3 separate regions of the Mus musculus genome follow, and all the other regions are reported to be linked to region 3. The links are microRNA targets in miRTarBase. Many come from high-throughput screens and were not tested one by one. Region 3 holds a microRNA gene; each other region holds the end of a gene's coding sequence.

Evidence for each region. Region 3 holds the annotated microRNA mmu-miR-378b (CUGGACUUGGAGUCAGAAGA, at 4,319-4,338, opposite strand). A microRNA usually pairs through its seed, bases 2 to 8, with sites in the 3' UTR of a target mRNA and lowers its output. Matches are read on the target gene's strand: a 7mer-m8 pairs with bases 2 to 8, a 7mer-A1 pairs with bases 2 to 7 and ends in A, and an 8mer does both.
Region 1: the mRNA of Ncoa7 is a reported target of mmu-miR-378b. Seed matches in the 3' UTR shown: 7mer-m8 at 1,876-1,882.
Region 2: miRTarBase lists Bmp2 as a target of mmu-miR-378b. Seed matches in the 3' UTR shown: 8mer at 4,002-4,009.

The regions. Positions count from the first base shown.
Region 1 is chr10:30,642,571-30,649,197 of GRCm38, reverse strand. Ncoa7 (nuclear receptor coactivator 7) reads left to right here. Exons shown (of 16, transcript NM_172495.6): 14 at 658-753; 15 at 1,158-1,231; 16 at 1,547-3,616. The coding sequence ends at 1,682. Among named protein-coding and RNA genes, the nearest start is that of Hint3, 28 kb to the right of the region's middle.
Region 2 is chr2:133,559,626-133,566,252 of GRCm38, reverse strand. It overlaps Bmp2 (bone morphogenetic protein 2), which reads right to left. Exons shown (of 3, transcript NM_007553.3): 3 at 3,357-5,379. The coding sequence ends at 4,538. It overlaps Mir3090 (microRNA 3090), which reads right to left and starts at 1,545; the gene lies at 1,459-1,545.
Region 3 is chr11:88,350,550-88,357,176 of GRCm38, reverse strand. Mir378b (microRNA 378b) reads right to left here and starts at 4,404; the gene lies at 4,313-4,404. All of the region lies in intron 11 of Msi2 (musashi RNA-binding protein 2), which reads left to right.

The DNA of each region.
Region 1 (6,627 bases), not on the chromosome of region 3:
TGCTTCAAACTAAGTACCTTGACCAGTCATATTTAAGTATTTTCATCTCTCATTATTAAAAATTGAAAGGGAGGAAAGTTTATCTTTGAGGGGATGGAATGTCCAGCCTTGATCTCACTTATGAAATACATGAGAAAACTTGACATGATGGTTCCACCAAGACAACTTTGTGGATGCTAGTGGCCAACCTAGGCTACATAGTGAGTTCCAATCTAGCCTACCCTGTAATAGAAGACTCTGTCCCAAGAAACAAAATATAAAACTAAATCATTCTAGAGATGTGATGGTGTCCTGTCAAGCACTCATTTCTGTGTGTAACACACATTTTTTAAAAATGCCATTCTCCATATTCTACTTCAGCAGCCTTTTAACCACTGAATTGTTGGCCACTTTAACAAATAATGCCTCCAAGCTTCTCTGATGGATTTTCCATGTACCAGGAAGCCTGGCCACATGGGTTCCAGTTAGAGCTGGGGGTATTGTAGTAATTGCTTTGTTTGATGGGTTTTTTTTCCACTTAAAGAGTTCTAATTTAATAATAAACTTTGCTGAAAGAGTTATAAGATCCAAGAACAATAGTGTGTCAAAAATGTTTTAGAAGGTCTCTATGGGAGTTTAATTTTGAAAGTAACTATGTCTTCTGTTTTCTTTTAATAGATATTTGGGGCATATGCAACTCATCCCTTCAAGTTCAGTGACCACTATTATGGCACAGGCGAAACGTTTCTCTACACCTTTAGTCCGAATTTCAAGGTACCTGGAAGGGTGGAATACTTGAATGGCTAGGGTTGTGTTGTCAGCAGTCAGGAGGTTCCGGGGTGTTCAGACACTGAGATAGTGGGTGTCCTGCAATCCTGCCTGCATCCTTTGCACGCAGTCTCGGTCTCCATGACTGAAGCATACAGACAGCTTAGAAACCCAGCACAAGGAGTTTCTCAGTCTGCGATGCAGGGAGAGATTGAAGGTCAGAGCCAGCACATTATCGAATGGTCTTTACTATTTCATAACGATTGGTGATCATGTTGTAGCCATTCTGTCAAATGCTTTGTTACTCAAAGGTGTGTTTCCTTTATACACAACATGACTATTCAAGGTATCTTCTCTGCTAATTCTCCGAATTGAAATGTTGGTGCTCTCTTTTGTGGTTTTGCCCTTAGGTCTTTAAGTGGAGTGGAGAAAACTCATATTTTATCAATGGAGACATAAGTTCTTTAGAACTTGGTGGTGGAGGGTAAGGCTCTTGTAATTTTATTACTTGGGGATCACTTAGGCCCAGCTATTCAATTTGCTTAGATTAATTAGGGCAGTGTACTAACACATGCCACTGAGAACCAAAGATAAATGATGTATTAATGTGCCTGAGAGACTGCAACCATTTGTCCTTTAAGAGAGACCTGTTTACACAGCTTGCTCTTAGTTTGTAAGGAGTTTAGAGTTCTGTCTATTTTGTCCCAAATGAAAGGAAGCCTCTCGGAAAAAGGCAGAAAGCATGTCATTTTGTAAGCCTTGACCGTGTAGTGACCTTTCTCCTTTAACCTTGTTACAGGGGACGATTTGGTCTGTGGCTAGATGCTGATTTATATCATGGACGCAGCAACTCTTGCAGTACTTTTAATAATGATATCCTTTCAAAAAAAGAAGACTTCATAGTTCAGGACCTAGAGGTATGGACATTTGAGTGAAACTCAGGCTGCCTTAAAATAAAACATGGAAAAGACTGGGTTAGATTAGCCGTCTTACTGGAAGACGAGCCCCAGCCCTGGCTGCCTCATCCTACAGCAATGCTTTCTTCCTGCGGTTGTCTCAGAGCATCATAGCAATGCAGACAGATTCTGGAAGGTACTGTGGAGGGCAGACACTGAAGACAGAAATCTCAAGTCCAGGTTGTTTTAAAAAAACAAAACAAAAAGACTTTGTACCTCCACTGCTTTCAAATTCACACCATGAGAAATCAGAGTGTTTTTTGATGTATGAGTTGAATGCAATTTTTATTTTTGGTAACTGTGAAAAAATATGATACTGTGGAAATACATACCTTCCTTGTGTATTTATCAGCATAATTTTACCAAATATATACTTTTTGTTTGCCATAGAAAGCTAAATCTGATTTAGAGAAATTGAAAGGATATAGCACTTAAAGGGAATATCTGATTTTTTAAAAACTTTTATTTATTATTTTTAGTATATTGTCTGAAATATATTGATTTTTTTCTTTTAATGTGTCAAATCCTGAAATAAAGAAATGTATATGTTTTGTGCTATTGGGAAACAAGGCTCTTTTGATTTGTATAGTTTTTTATTCATTTTTTGCCCTGATTATTTAGGGTAATATAATCTTTATTTATTAAGAGAGTGAGAGAGAGGGAGAGAGAGAGAGAGAGAGAGTCAAAAAGACAGAGACAGAGTTTTCAAAAGCTCATTACCAATGTTTTTTGATCTATTATAGACCAACTTTTTATTTAGTTTTTAAGGTAATCTTTGAAAACCCTAAGCATTTGTGTGAAGCAGAATATAGCTTCTCTCACAGTTGTAAGATGGTGTTTATTGAAATACAGATCTTTATGAACATGAATGTACAAGTCCTACTTCTACAGAGTGTTTGTTTCTTATGAAATTGTGTGAATTGTATATTAATAACAGTAACTAAGTTTCTTAGTTTTTTTTCTTTTTTTCATTCCTTTTCTTTTTTTTCTTTTACGTTGTTTCTTTCCAGGTGTTTACATTAATGGTAGCCATCTGTTTTAAAAGAGAGTATATAATTTGTGCATTTTTAATGTTGGATAAAAGATGCCAAGTTGGACCAACTTTCTTGGTTTCTTGAATCTTACTGGAGAAAAAACAATTCAAAGAATTACATTCATATCACAATTGAAAGAAAAAAGAAAATCTATATTTTTTTAAATATAAACTCATTTTCACATCAGTAGACATCTTTTATTTTAAATAGTAGGATATAAAATCATTAATGTTAATGATTGCCTCCCTCTTATGAAAGCCAAAGACTACTAATGGAAAAAATTTAAATAATAGCCAAAGCTGAAAAGTAGTCTATCGCGAATTATTTCCCCAGAGATTTTTGAACAGAAAATGAGCAAACCGTGTTTACATGTCTGTTTATGTTTGTCATATTTTCAAGTCTTTCTTCCATTTTAGCCTCCTTGTAAGAAAACACTGTCCAGTGGTCTCCATCAGGCCGATCACTATATTCACTGCCATCCCATGCTAGTTTAAAGGAATGCTATGAAAATTTAAATCTGTAGACCATATATACTTTTCACCCAAGTTCTCCCATTGAGGACTCTTGCTTAAAAATATACAATTTGACTTTGGTCTGCTCACACACATGAGTTGGCGAGATCCCAGGAATGTCGTGTGGTGATGATGTTCACTGTTTGTAACCATGCTGTTAATGAACAAGATGGTCATTTTGCCTCTAGATTACTCTTGCCTAGTTTAGTCCATGATGCTATACTCGTGAGAGCATATCCAGATGCTGTGTTCTCTATTTAAAACAGTATTGTCTGAACAGGAATGTGTGGCCCTTTATTATGGATTTCAACTACATGTAATGATATTCCAATATTTTCAATAAAGGAATTTATGCATTCAGTGTGAATTTCTTTCCTAAAGACTCATTCATTGGCCATTTATATAGTACAGCCTGACTTCAGAGACATGACATGATCCATTCCAGGGCAGAACAACAGAACAATCATACGGTTTTCCCCAGTTCTGTAAGAATTATGATTAGACTATAGTGCTCATAGTTTATTGAGCATGCACTGGCATTATGATTAAAACAGTGTACTACTTTAATTAAAAATACTTCATTTTGCAGCTGTAGAGATGACTCTCTGGCTACCAGAGCTACTGTGCTTGCTGACAATGTGCACCATTTCTTAGCAGGCATGTTGGGCAGTTCATAACTGCCTGTAACTCCAGTTCCAGAGAAATTGTCTTCCTGCACAGGCAGCTGTACATATGCACATACACTTACAGCCTCAGCCTCACACACATGCACTTAAAAAATAATAAAAATAATTTTCAAAATACACTCCATTGTTAGGATTCTCAATGATTATCTGAACTATTTGAAAGTGGTGCCTATAGACCTGTTTGGCACAGGTTTGCCATGAATCTTCTATTGGTAAAGATTTACAGTGTCTCCAAGGTACAATGCATTGAAGTATGACAAGGCATTCGTGTCTGGGGGTTTGTAGTGAGAAGAGGTGGAGGAAATAACCAATAATAAACTGGATTTGGTAAGATACTTAACAGAAAACTACCACTTCATTTCCTGTAGCTTTCCCCCAGTTCTCTCAACAGTTCATGAAAACTACTACTTTTATATAGTTACTGGAGACTACCCTTGGCTTTATAATAATAAATTTAGTAATATTAATAATCTAATGTCTCATATGTAGACAGCCCTCATTTTTATACCTGTTCTACCCTACATACATTTCCATCAAGGATATTTTGCACACTAATAACCTTCTGCCATGTAGTCCCCACTGAAGAAAGTCCAGGGAGTCTTTATTTTCTCAAAATTTCTCCTTTCATAGGTATAGATGCAAAATCTTAGGTGAGGGCTGGGTATGGTGGCACACATTTTAAGTCCCAGAGTACAGGAGGCAGAAGTGGGCCTGTACTCACTATGTAGACTAGAATAGTCTACATTGAAAGTTTCACACTAGCAAAAGCTATATAGTGAGACCCTCTCTTAAGCTGTCTTAGGGTTTTATTGCTATGAAGAAACCCTTGACCATGACAACTTTTTGAAAAACATTTAATTGGGGCTGGCTTACAATTCAGGGTTCATGCATGGTGGGAAGCATGGTGGAGTACAGGCAGATATGGTGTTGGAGAGTAGCTGAGAGTTCTACATCTTCTCAACTAGTAGGAAGGAAGAGTGAGCCACTTCTGAAACCTTAAAGTCAACCTATGACACACTTCTTCCAACAAGACCACTCCAATAAGGCCACACCTCCAAATAGTGCCACTCCATATGGGTCCATGAGGGCCATTTTATTCAAACCATTACATACACAAGCAAACAATAGCAACAATAACAAAATTGGTTGGAAGAAAGCCAAGGGTACTTAGAGAAAATTTAAAATAAGGTAAGCACACACACCTTTTGTGTGACTCAAAAGTGCCTATGACCATCTCCTGCCAATCAGATCTCTTTTTCTCATTGGGGAGCTCTTACCCTCAGGGTAACTCATCATCTTGCCCCCTTGTTTGTGTCCTTGAGACATGATTATCTCCCAATAGATAGTTTCTTTACCAAGAAAATTAACCTTCACAATCCATACCGTACTCTAAGGTCATATTCTCTTACCTTTCATTCTAAGCTGTCTAGTGACAGAGAATAAAGCAGATGGTCCTCCCTGCTTTCGCCAATGGAGACATCAAAGTAGTGCTTGTTGATGGGCTCTTCCATGCTTTTTATCAGCAGTGTCCAATGGAGCATCCTACAATGCTGGACTTGTACCACAATTTTCACTACTATATTTATTTACTCATTTGTTTATATTCGTACATAATGATGGGTTCCCTTATGACGTTTTACAAATACAAGTCAGATACTTTGCTCACATGCACCTTCCACTGGATGGAAAGAACTCTTTCTCCCCATGGTTTCCTTCCACTTCCTAAATACCTCTCCTCCTAACTTCATGTCATGTAGTGTGTGTGTGTCTAGATTACACATATGACAAAAAAAACAAAACAAAAAAAACATGGCAGTATTTTTCTTGCTTATTTTGCTACACACCACAATTTTATCTTTTCCTGAAAGAGGAATAGTTCATCTTTATGACTGAATAGAGTGGTACGTTCATCAGAGTAGAAAAGATGATGAACAGAGAATGTAAGAGCAGTATGAAGAGTGCTCACAAAATGGCATCTATCATGACTGCCCACCCAAAGACCCAACAAGCTGCTGAAAAAGTCAGATGCAGATATTTGCACCCAACCAACGGACAGAAGCAGCTGACCCCTGTTGTTGAATTAGGGAAGGCTGAAAGAAACTGAGAAGGATGATCCTATAGAAGGACCAGCAGTCTTAATTAATCTGGACCCCGAGATCTTTCAAACACTGGACCACCAAACAGACAGTATACACCAGCTGTTATGAGTCCCCCAGCACACATACAGTAGAGGACTCCCAGGTCTATGTTCATTCAGAGATGATTCACCTAACTCTCAAGAGACTGGAGACCCCAGGGAGTTTAGAGGTCAGATGGGGTGGAGGGTGGGGGCATCCATGTGGAGATGGGGTATAGTGGGGAGGAGGTGTGGGATGTGAGGCAGCTAGAGGGCAGGAGGGGGGAAAGGGAATGGAATATGGAGTGTAAAAAATGAATTACAAATAAAATTAAATTAAAAAAAGAACAGTATGAAGAATCAATATAGCAAAGGAGTTGATTCTTTGAAAAGATAAACAGGATTGACAGACCCTTAGTCAACCTTAACTGAAAGAGAAAGAGAAAAACCATGTTAATAAAGATAAAAAGAAGGATGTCACAACAGTTACTAGCAGTTTGAATAGGTTTGGCCACCATGGTTTCAAGTGTTTGAATGCTTGGCCAACAGGGAGTGATATTAGGAGGCATGTCCTTG
Region 2 (6,627 bases), not on the chromosome of region 3:
GAGAGCTGTGAGCAGATCGGGGCTTTGCTGAGAGACCTCCTCATCAGAATGGACTGCAACAGTAATGGACTCCCAGCAATGCCTTGGCGAGGGGCCCAGCACACAGGCAAACACAAGCTTTTAAGTGCTGTTAAAGTCAGCGTATGGTGTAGCACCTCAGAGGGTCTCCATTCAGAGTTTAGAGACCTAAACAAAATGATAAATCCATAGGGATTGGCCAAGGGGGTGGGGTGGGGGACGGTTGATGCTCTTGCCTCAGCATTCAGACTCTAGACATGAGCAAACGAAAATTCCTTCAGAGATGTGCATGCATGTGTGTGCATGCGTGCATGTGAACATGTGTGCTTGTTAGCATGTACGTGTGTATGCAAATATGTGTGCTTGTATGTGTGTATGTGCACATGTCTGTTCACCCACAGGGATGTGTGTGTGTGTGTGTGTGTGTGCGTGTGTGTGTGTGTGCATGTGTGTGTGTGTGTGCGTGTGCGTGTGTGTGCGTGTGTGTGTGTGTGTGTGTGTGTGCATGTGTGTGTGTGTGTGTGTCTTACACAACAAGATTGGTTGAGATTAAGAATATATTCATCCTGACATTTCTTCAACAAATATTAAAGTCTGTGTTGCTTCTAAGAGTTTCTGAGAGCCGAGTAAGGTGCTGCCCAAGCTACCCTTGATCCCCACAGGGCATTCTGCTAACAAGTGGCATTCATGCCAAGCAAAGCCAGGAAGTTATTTCTGTGCTGACCCTCTTTGCAGAGGGAAACCCATTTTTTTCCCTAGCTTAAGCCCATTCACATAAGCACTTTATTCCAAGCCAACTGCAAAAAAGATTCGAACTTCCATTAGAACAAACCTCCCATACCAGATTTGGAGTCCTATGCCACCCTCTAGGTTCAATGAACTTATACAGTGTACTGTCTTATAACTTAGAAAAAAGTCAAGCATCATTTTAGTATAAACAAATGCTTCAACCATACGACATCTACCCTCTGCCTTCAAAGAGATCCCTTTAACTCAGGTGCTTGGCACTAACATCACACAGGAGCAGCTCAGCACACTGACTTAAGTGTTCAAGTTTTTTAAAGTACATTTCTAAGGACTTGCACCTGCTCCCTCATACATATAGATGTACTGACACGCATTTGACTAAACTGACTGCAGCGTGCCCAAGCAAGCAAGCAGAGCAGATTTTACAAGATAAGCAACCCAGTGTTTTCATGTCTAAGAGTGGCTAGAACATAAGATTGCCACTCATCTTGTTGGGAAAAAGAATGTCTTTGAAAAAAAAAAAACAAAAAACAAAACTGCAGGGCACTGATTCAGATGCCATGCAACGCAGCTTTGCCTTCTGTTTCTTCTCATTTACACATGGCTTTTACACACGAAGGGGCTGTACTTGAGCCAGCTTCTGTAGCCATGATCGAAAGAACAGTCCACACAACCTTGCTACTCAAACTGCAGTCCTCTGGCACAGTGAGTCAGGGTGTCACCTGGGAGCTCATTAGAAATTCAGGATCTCAGGCCCCACCCAGACCACTGGGACAGGAATCATAGGGTGGCAGGACTCCACCACGTGGGCTGTACACACATCAAGCTTTTTTGCTTTCCTGGAGGCATTCCTGATGACTGAGGTGCCCGCTAAACTCTAACAAGTTTTATTTAGAACTTTGGCCCCTCAAGTTAGTTAGAAGTTCACTTTGAAGTTGGTAGGGCGGGGAGCTGGTGAGAAAATTCTGCCCTAGAGGATGTCATAAGGCTTTAAGATATGGTGGCGGGGTGAAGGAAAGAGGAGATGCAATTTATCCAAGTAGATGTGTGTGCCCTGCCCCCTCAACCCCACCCTACCTGTCCCTTCCCCTGCAAGACATAAAACAGAAAAGGAATAGTGCAGGCTGTTGTGACCTCCTCACATATATGCCGATCTATAACGCCGCCCCCCTCGCCCCCACAATATAACCATTCTTTACTGCAAAGCTCTCTTCCTTTGTCCTTTCAATCAAAAAGTAGGGAGGGGCTCAGCATGTCAGCACCCAGTGAATCAGTATCTTAACAGCAAGGCAAGTGACTAGAAATTTGCTAAGTGATTTGGCTCATTTTCGATAGTACAGATGAGTGTTCTCCATCTTAAAAAAATAGAGAGAACACCTGAACCACTCGGGGTATATACCAATGACATAGCTCCATTTACTGTGACGTCTCTCTCTGAACCTAAATGGAAATCAGAAGTGCGACCATCTACATATGTAACATAATCTTCACATAGCTATGTATAAATTAGAACATGTACACACTATATGCACATACATGTATGTATATACCTATATGTCACATGGGGCCTGCTGTGCTACAAGTAATTTTAGCCAAGAAAATCAAGACCAATGAAGCAGAAAATATGTACTGGATAGACCTGCCAGAAGGTGGGATCCTTATGGAATGATCGCACTCCCATCTGGAGGACTTGGAGATGTAAATATGTGGTTCATTCATTTTATAAGATGTTAAGATTGCAGTTTGTTACAGTGCCCATGGCAAGCAAGAGACATTAGAGAATGACTGAAGGACCAGGAGGACAAGGCTACCCATAGTTGGGTCTAATCGTTTCTACCTGTGCAACAACTAAAGGGATAAGGAACACATCAAAAGCTAACCAGGGTAGTCATTTAAAACAAGATCTTCAGAACCTTAAGGTTTCCGAAGGTAAGTGTGCTTGGGGTCATTGCACGGAGGTCCTTGGGAAGAATTTAATTATAACAGTCTGTCTTGCTGTAAGCACACCGCTTTCCAAGTCAGTTCTAAGGCACGGGTCAGGAGAGGAGGTGAGACCTGGGCTTCAACCATGACGGAGGGCTACAGGACACACACTCCGGAAACTGACCTGAAACCCTGCCAGGAACTAGCACTGGATTCCCCAATCTGCAAACAGCCACAAAGCCCTCCCTCCCTAGGTTTTGCTTCCAACCTGAGCACCAAAGCTCTGCCATCATAGAGGACTCACTTTCCAGAACCTCATCTGACTTCACTCTGTTTGAGCATCTGGCCAATTGGTAGATGTGCTGAGACGCTGATCAGACATTCTTTAATTTTTTTAGGCACTGTGGCCTCTGTTGTATGATATATCATCTCTGGAACTTTACCTTGGGTTCTGCAAACTTTGCTTTGATTTAGGCATTGGCTTTCTCTCACTCCCCCCGCCCCCTTATGAAAACTACTAACTCATTGGTAAGTCCTTTGGTCCAACTGGGGTTTGCTTAGAATTCTCCAACCATTTAAGTCATGTCCCCACCCCAACCTTGTCATCATTCACCCAAGAAATGAAAATGCAAACACAGGTAGACACTGCAAACACAAACAAACCATTTGCTCTCACGGGTTAGGTTTTATAGGATGAAATGCCAGAATTTTGATATTTATTATCTGAAATGGGTTTAACATTTGGAGAAATATGTTCAAACACATATCCCTGGAAAGAAAAGCAAGCTGACAGGTCAGAGAACAGGGTGCAGGCAGGAAACATATGCTCAATTTTGCTGCGTGTCAGGCAAATGTAGAAAATTGGGTGCTTTGGAGAATAGAGAGATTGCTGATAGGGTAAACACAAAATACAAGCCAATTTCTGCTTCTTTATGAGGGCCCACAAGATAATCAATTGTACACATATATGACTACAATGTTAATAAAGAAGAAATATTATATTTTATTTAGTACTTTGGCCAGATCAGCCCCCTGGAAGGGATTATAGGCTTAAGAAAGAACAAGATGCCATCATCACTTCCTGACATAGTCACAGTTTTCCTAATTATTCCCACTGGTCCTGCTTTGTTCTTGCTGCAGGGAGGGTGGCGAGAGCTTTTCTATCAGATCAGTAATGTCTGGTTCTTATCCAAATATTCCCCCTAATAAGAATGAAAGTTCTCACGGATTGGACAACCACTCTGCAACATTCCTGAGAATTGAAGAATATAATCTTGAAAGTCAGCAAAGTAGATTATCCTTTTTTTTTTTTTTTGGACTTGAACTTGTGAACTTTAACAGTAGTGCTGCAAGAAACAGACAGCAAGTGTGCAAGCACTTTGCTCAGCAACCTTCCATGTAGACTTTGCATCTTAAATACACACAACTGAAAAACAACTACAATTCTTTTTGAAAATTATATACAAACCCGATATTTCTTCTGATTACATATAAATACAAATTAACTATCTTTTTTCCCTAAAAAGTGGTTATAATAGTAAATAAATACAAAATAACTCTGACCATTATACTTCATGTGCTGGAGTTGAACCCATATAAAATGTACAACTAAATACATTTTAAATCTTTAAGGAATAATTCTCTGATTAAAATATTTGTTTTCCCAACTTCTTTTCGTAGATATAAATATATTTTCAAAATAGCTGTGTTTTTTTCCATTCCATTCCATAAATAAAGTCTTCATTGGGAAATATTAAAGTGTCAGCTGGTTTTTTTGGGGGGGAGGCAGGGGGAGTAGGGTTTTTTCTGTTTCTAAAATATATATATTTATTTATTTATTCTTGCTGTGCTAACGACACCCGCAGCCCTCCACAACCATGTCCTGATAATTTTTTAGCACAACCTTTTCATTTTCATCTAGGTACAACATGGAGATTGCGCTGAGCTCTGTGGGGACACAGCATGCCTTAGGGATTTTGGAATTCACAGAGTTCACCAGAGTCTGCACTATGGCATGGTTAGTGGAGTTCAGGTGGTCAGCAAGGGGAAAAGGACACTCCCCATGGCAGTAAAAGGCATGATAGCCCGGAGGTGCCACGATCCAGTCATTCCACCCCACATCACTGAAGTCCACATACAAAGGGTGTCTCTTGCAGCTGGACTTGAGGCGCTTCCGCTGTTTGTGTTTGGCTTGACGCTTTTCTCGTTTGTGGAGCGGATGTCCTTTTCCATCATGTCCAAAAGTCACTAGCAATGGCCTTATCTGTGACCAGCTGTGTTCATCTTGGTGCAAAGACCTGCTAATCCTCACATGTCTCTTGGAGACACCTGGGTTCTCCTCTAAATGGGCCACTTCCACCACAAACCCATGGTTGGTGTGTCCCTGTGTGGTCCACCGCATCACAGCTGGGGTGACGTCGAAGCTCTCCCACTGACTTGTGTTCTGATTCACTAACCTGGTGTCCAATAGTCTGGTCACAGGAAATTTCAAGTTGGCTGCTGCAGGCTTTATAATTTCATAAATATTAATTCGGTGCTGGAAACTACTGTTTCCCAAAGCTTCCTGTATCTGTTCCCGGAAGATCTGGAGTTCTGCAGATGTGAGAAACTCGTCACTGGGGACAGAACTTAAATTGAAGAAGAAGCGCCGGGCCGTTTTCCCACTCATCTCTGGAAGTTCCTCCACGGCTTCTAGTTTGATCAGGGTGGAGAGAAAAAAGAAACGCATTTGGTAAGAGAGCCAATGGTAACTTAATTCCTTACGAGCATTTAAAACTTCAGTGCATGGTTTAAGTTAAACTACATAAAAACCTGCAACCAGAAATTAAAAATGTCAGGCCTAGAGATACAATGTCTGCCCCTCTGTCCATGGCCCTGAGTTTACTGCTTAACACAACATATATATATATATATATATATATATATATATATATATATATATATATATATACACACACAACATGTATATATATGTATATACACACACACATATATATATTAAAGTGAAAGCGGAGTTTCTTTTCCCTTTTCTATATGGCCACATTAACTTTGTAATTGCTACGTTTTTAATCCAATATATGAACATAGCTTCTAGGTAGCTATAATAATGGAGGAAATAGTGAAACACTTCTTTGGAATTCACAGACTTTAAGGGGAAAAAAGTCAGCACTGTAGTTAGTAGAGAGCTAATGACTGAGGAGTTGAGGAAATGACTGTATTTCTTAACTAAGAAAACGAGCTTTAATGTCAATCCCTTAAGCAGCCTGTGCAAACATTACTCTACAATTTAGATGATTTACAAATCTCAATATACAGATTTCAGCCCCTTAATTAAAGACTTTGAAATTCAACATCAATGATGACATTTTGCAAAGCACACCCTACCATTTTGCTCAGAACTCTAGAGACAAAGGCATCCACAGGGACATAGTTCTTCAGAAGGGTATGGGGTGACATTAGGCTGCTGTAGCAATTCACGATAAAGAAATCCCTTCCTACTTCCTGTTCTCTCGTATCCATCTCATCCTCATTCGGAATAACTTCTGTGTTGATCCAGCAGTGCTTAGACTTTGACCTGCACATCAGCCGGTCTGGGAAGAGGCCTGCACTCCTGCATCTCCATTAAGCTCTTAAGCAAGGGATGCTGCTGTTTCTGGACCACACAGAGTCAAGGTTTAAAAGGATGCTTTTCATACTCGAGCGTATACTGATGAAGGAGGAGACTTTTATAGAAAAAGCCTTAATGTTGGCCAACACATGAGGGTTCATGCTATGTTAAGCCAGCCAGGGACTCAAGGGGGGTCTTCTAAAGCTCTTCTCTTTGAACAGGAAGATTACCAGACCAAGCTGCGATTCTTTCATAATCCTCTTGCATCTGTTTGCCAAAAAGTTCTTGGTGATACCTTTGGGGAGCCATTTATGTTCTGAACTCCACTATCG
Region 3 (6,627 bases):
CATCTGGAAAGTGGTTAGGAAACACTGCCCAGCCCTAGAGCAAGGAGGCCATTGGCTGCTCAGTTGCTGGGCTGGGCTGTGGGCCAATGGTGGAGAAGGGGGTGTGGCCACAGGCGCAGCCGGCTCCTTACCCAATCTTCTTTCAGGGAGGCTTGGGCACCAGGTACCATAGCAACTGCAAACAGGGGCTCATTTGTTTTGTAGATGAGTAATTACTACACAATTAAAGAAGGCTAAAAATAAATGGGCCCTTTGTTCCAGGCTACTTATTAATATTAATAAAGTGGTCTGTCCAGGTCCATGGCAAATAGTGAATCCCACACTTGCGCCCGGGTGTCTGAGGTAGAGACCGGTGTGTGAAGAAAGCAGGCCAGCCCTGCTTCGCTGCCAGCTTCCCTCTCTTTCTGGAAGCTATTTCTGGCTATGTCTTGGAGAGGGTGGGCTTCCTGGGTCTTGGAAAGTTCAGCCTTACAGATAGATACACACAGAACGGTGGGTACCCTGGAGAGTCAGGCAGAAAACTAATCCACCCCTCCCCCACCAGAGAACAGACCAGAAACACAGCAGAAACCACATGACATGGAAGAAACTCCTTGTCTCTTTATGCTCTCTTTGACCTCACATTGTCTTCTTTAATCCAGAAAAACACCCTTTAAACCTTCCACTGAGATTTCAGGGTCTTCCTCTGCCAGCCTCTTTTTCTGTTTGCCTGTCTTGGGGAATAAACTCACCATGACAGGCTAGGGGTCTTCACCATGACAGGCTAGGGGTCTCGTCGAGTTCATGACCTCCATCCCTTAGGTCTTGACCTTCAAGGTTCAAATAGCTAAGAGGATATTGAAACCACCAAGAGGTGCTCCCACCTCCTAGAGGAGGAGATGGCCTTGAGAGTGAGAAATAGCTTAGAAGATAAACCCGAGGGAGGATGGGCGGGGCATGGTTCCTGGCCGGCATCCACCTCTACTAAATGAGGATTTCAGACTTACAGTCCCCAGTAGGTCCCATCAGCCCGGCAGCTCTGTATTGCTGCGCCGTCCAAAGCTCCTGATCCTTCGTCCTAGGAGACATAAGCAGTGGAAATGACAGTGGCTTAAGGACATCGTGCGGAGAAAGCCAAGAGCATCCCAGTGGCAGGAAATCCCGTGGAGGTGTGGGGTGTGCCCTTGAAAACAGTCAGCCATCAAGTGCAGGGTGCATGGCGGTGTGGCAGGGCTCTGTTTACAGTAAGAATCACATTTTCAGTATATCAGATTTCCAGCCTTAAGTGTGCTTGGTGGGACCTTTCAGGCTTCTGTGGTTCTGTCTTTGTGAACAGGACTCATCAATAGCAGAAGACCTGGGGCTAGGGGAGACGGCTCAGTTGGTAAAGGGCGTGCTGTTGCAAGCAGGTGGACTTGAGTTCTGATTCCCGGTGCTCACATAACAGCAATGCTCAGCTGCATCCGTAATCCCAGCACTTAGGAGGTGGAGACAGGTGGATCCCTGGAGCTGATTGGTCAGCCTGCTTAACCAAATGGATGAGTTCCAAGTTCATCGAGAGACCCTGTCACAAATAAGGTGGAGAGCAATAAAGACACTTGACATGTACACCCCCCACACAAACACACACATACAGGACACACAAATTCAATAACAGAAGACCTGCTCATCGCTGCTAGTGAGCAAGTGAGCCAGCCTTACAGTTTGTTACAACTATGCTGCGTGCTGGAATCTCCCGGGTGTTTTTTCAACTTCCCTCACTGCCAGGCCATATTTCAAACCCATCAAATCAGAGCCTGGGCAAAGTCAGTGTATAGCCATAGCCTCACGTCCTGGTTAGTTGTGCAACTTTATACCATCCCTGACCATGGCAGGCACCCAGCATCCTCCAAAGGGAAGCAGGGGAAGTCACCAGCCTAGGTTTAGAGTCCCTATGGGCTTAGGGCTCTTCTGCCTACCAGGGCCAACAAGACCACCTTCAAGGACGACCTTAAGGGGTCCTTGTCTCTGTGGTGTGACTCTCCCATCTCCCTTGAGTCCAGGCTGAGATGAGGAGCAAAAAGTTTAGACAACTGTAAACAGGGAAGCAGCCATACGCCTAGACTGGCTGACAAATGGAAGCCTCTTGCTAAGGTCGGAGTTTGTTTGTTATTAAAGACCTAATTAGGAACATGAGAGGGAGCTGAATGGCTCCGCGCTTGGTTAATTAGTGACATGTATGCGCCCGCTTTGAACTTCAAGGACACAGAGCTATTAGTGCTTACATCAAAAATGGATTAAACTCCTGCGTCTTTACAATCATTAAAGACGGACTACTCAAGTGGAAAGCCTTCTGTACAGATCCTTGAGGGACTATGCCCTCAACACCCTCCTCACCCACCAGCCACCAGCCACACCCAGATGCTGGGTCCCCGGGTGCCAAGATGCTGTTAGAAGTGATTGGGCAGCAAGTGCCAATCGGCCATGAGGTGTCCCAGCTCCCCACAGGACCCAGCAGAGTGAGATGGACTTTGAGGGCTGGGTTAGTTCTCTGGGGCCCCCCACTGTGTCTGGGCCTTGATAGAAGTGACAGTCTCAGTAAGGGCTTGGCCAGTGGCCCACCCACTTACTGACTCCCAACACTGACTACATTTCTGTTCTTTGCCACAAAGTTCTTTGTTTTATGCCACAGTGGAAGGTTACCCCAGTCATCAGCAGAGATGAAGTCCCCTATGTCTTCATAGGCACCACCCAACCCCAAGGAGATCCCTGGCTAGTAACAGAGGTGTCTGCAACATCAAACTGTGATTCAAGGAGGGACAACTGAGTCGTGTCACGACTGATGTCACATTGTACTTTCAAGTTAGAACTGGAGACAGTCCTAAGACCCTGAGTTTGCTTATCTATTACACAGCGTAATGAAACCCATCTTAAAAGCTGTTGAGTGAGTGGCCCTCCTAGCCTGGCCCTCTCTTATCCCGTTAGCTCTCACCTATCTTGGCCCAGCCATGTGTGATAGTAGTACATCTCCTCCCTAGCCATTCCTACCAGGGATGTGCTGACCACTGACTCTTAGGTAGCTTTCGTCACTGCTGCTGGAATACAGTGCTAGACCATCTTCGTCACTGCTGCTGGAATACAGTGCTAGACCATCTTCTAAGTCTATATAGTCCTAGCCTTGGATTTCATAGTACTGTAGCATGTGTGTAGTACAGAGAAATATGCATTGGTCATATAAGAAGTAACGTATGAGACACAAGGGATCTATGGCTGGGACAGGCAGGGGTGAGACCTTCACGATGAGCAGCATAGCAATAAGTGGAGATGACTGGAGACACACGGGAAAACCATACTGCTTGCTTCCCTAGTAAGTTAGGTAGACGACGACGTGCCTTAAGAACAGGTGAAAACAGGCCAAGGGACTTTCAACATCAAACTGGAGTTGGCCTGCTTTCAGCCCTTGGGTTCCTTATTTAATTTTGGTATTTTGGTCCTAGACCCTAAAGGGCTGGACAAGGAGACAGAGGCTACACGTTCAGACATCGAGTGGCTTTAATGCAACATATCCTGGGTGCTGTGGCTATGAGGGGGTCCCCTGCTCTGCTGCTCCCTTCAAATTCTACCCAGTGTTAGACAATAGAAATACCTGGACTCCACGTCTTTTCCTGGACCTACAGTAAGGCTATTGCGATTTACATCATTTTCCTAACCCCCAGAGATTAATTTCACTCTTCACACACACCCACCCCAGCCCACTTTAGAAAGTGGGGAAGGCTGCTGCCTGGAAGGCTTTAACTGAGCACCCCCAGGTAAGGGTCTTCATTCCCAATACAGGCCGTTGGTCCAATTTCTGTTCCCTTCTCTGAGATGAGATAGGAAGGCTTCATTAGGTCAGCCATCCAGGTGTTTTCTTGGGCAGCAGGAAGCTTTTCATTTAATGTAAAATACCTTCAACTCTCATTCGAATACATTCCTCTTGCTTTGCTGGCCTTCTGAGGTATAGCAAATGTCCCTGCCTTTCATGTTGCTCGCCCCACCCCACCCCCCTGAGTCCTTTTTTTCCGGGTCCAGGGTGATTAAATGCACCAGACGGATGGATTGAACCCTTTTGTAATCACCTTCAGGTCTGTATGGCAAGTGGATTGCATTTTCCTCTATTGGATTTTGCTAAATGTGCATACAGGACCTGTGTGGGCTCTGCATATACCTGATAAGTCACAGGGCTTTTTCTCCTTTTCATCCTCATAACATGCTAGTGACTCAGATTGAATAAGGGGCACATTACTCATGTGTCACAGATAAGGACACAAGCTGGACCAGGACACACAGGTGTCAGGGCAGGGCCAGAGTCAACCTCAGGTCTTCTGACTCCAAGTCCAGGGTTCCCTCTCTATCCATCGTACCTGCCTCCTGAGGGTACTGCCTGGACTGGGATAGCCCAGGACACTGGGAATCAGGAGCAGAAGGAGGAACCACCCTAGAATTAAGCCAGGGCTATGGACATTACTCAGAAGTGAGCCTGTTTACCACAGTGGACCCCCAAACTGCCAGCCTTGTCCCAAGCCATGTAACACAGTCTCAGCTTCTGCTGATATGCCATGATATTTCTAGATAACACACACACACACACACACACAGATAGAGCTGGACTAGCCACACAATAGTCACGATGCCCTTCCTTACCCATGAACAGTGATGCCATATCCTTTCTTGGGTTTGGGAGACCACACCTGACCCCTCCAGATGATTTTTGGTGCCTGGGAAAGGGAAACCTGCATTTCACAGAAAGAACTTTCATGGGAACTTGGCCTCTCACCAGCTTCTTTGCCTCTCACAGCTCACAGGAAGAGACCATGTTATCAAGTAGCCAGCCAGTACAGTGTGAGGAATTGTGCTGATTTCCAGAATGAAGGACATTCCATTGTCCTAGCTGCCTTCCTGATATCGGCAGGCAGTAGCAGCTACCAAGTGTCTGTCCTTATCCCTTCCTGAACAAGGTCCCTAAATACATATAGGTTGCTTGCCTGGAGACCTTATCACACTATCTGGGGCGTGGCTCTTCTGCCACAAGAGACACAAGTGTTGACTACAGAGCTTGAAGGAACATTTCTCCTCTGTGGCCAAACCCATATGGGCATAGGCTCCATTGTCTAGGTGTTTATTGCCTGTCCACTGTACCATCTGGTGAGGACTCAGCAGCCAAGTCTTCCATCCTTCACTGGGGGATGCTTGCTGCATAACCTTGAGCTGGAATGGACTGTGGCTGAGCAAGCACATACTCCAGTGGAACTGGGGATGGCAGTAAGCCATATTCTAGCACAGTGCCTCTCTCCAGATTGCTGCCACTCTCATTGGATGTAATATGACTGAGCAGGGAGGGATACTGTAGGCCTAAAATGAGCTTCTTGTAGAATTCCCTCCACACTACAAGTGCCAGGCTTCCAGGTGCACATGGAGCCAAGAATGTTGCCACGGGTAGGGTGAATCCCAGCAGCCCGCCTGCCTTCTAAGCCTTCCACAGAGGGCTCTCTGAACAGCATTCTTCTGTCAGCCTGCTGCCTCTTTGTCTTTCTCTAGCTGGATTTGTCTCCAGGGGTGAGGCTCTCTTGCCTTCTCTTCATTGCCTATCTAGTATCTTCCTATCTTAGAGGGAAAGAAGCTGAAAAAAAATCTCTGTCCATTTTCCACTACTATATTTTCCCAACCCCACCCGATCCTCTTACCCACAGTCAGAGCTAGCTCCTTCTTCTGTAGAGAGAGGGGCTGGTACCTGGGTAAACCAGGAGTCCACTGTCTAGCTCGTTGTGTTTCCTGAGTCCCCAAGAAAAAGATGTGGTCCACCAACACAGTGCTACCTTTTGGATATCTCTGCTGGATATTTGCCTCCATGAGAGAAGAAGGGGCAAATGTCATCTGCAATTTTAATGTTCTTGGTTCAAAAAATTCTGCTGCCAGTACATTTCCAAATAAGCTATTCACTTGCTTTGAATACCCCCCCCCCAACACACCTTCCCCCGTTTCCCCAACCCACTCTCTTGATCGTCTTGTTTATTAATTTCTGGCCAAATGCTTCAGAGGGGCGCATCCTGCCCAAGGGCATCCAGAGGCAACAGTCCCTTTTCCTCTGCTGAGGCAGGAGCCAGGCCCAGCGTGGTTTGGTCCACTTTGGATCTTGTGTCCCCTTCTCAAGTGCAGTATCATTAATCTCTTCTCGCTCCTATGACAAGTGCGTGAAAAAAAAATCCACTTACATGTTCTTCAAAGCCACAAGAGAAGCAAGGGCCTCTAGCGACAGGGCCCCAGGCAAGAGGAACTCCACCGTACACTTCAGATGCTCTTCTTGGCAGCTGTTACAGGGCAGAGGAGTGATGCCACAGGAGCCAGGAGGGAGGAGTGAGCCTTCTAAAGCTGAAGACAAGTGATATTCCATCACTCAGTTTCTTCAAAACGTGTTAGCTAAGGTCCAGCAGCTGCTGGGAATTTCAGAATCAATTAAGAGCTTACTTTTATAATGGAAATTGCTTGGAGTTTTGGGGTTTTGGGAGGGGGCGTTATGTCTGGGGTTTTTATTTTGTTTTGTTTTAAATATTTAATTTTATTTTATATGCTTTGGTGTGAGGGTGTCAGATTCCCTGGAACTGGAGTTGTGAGCTGCCATATTGGTGCTGG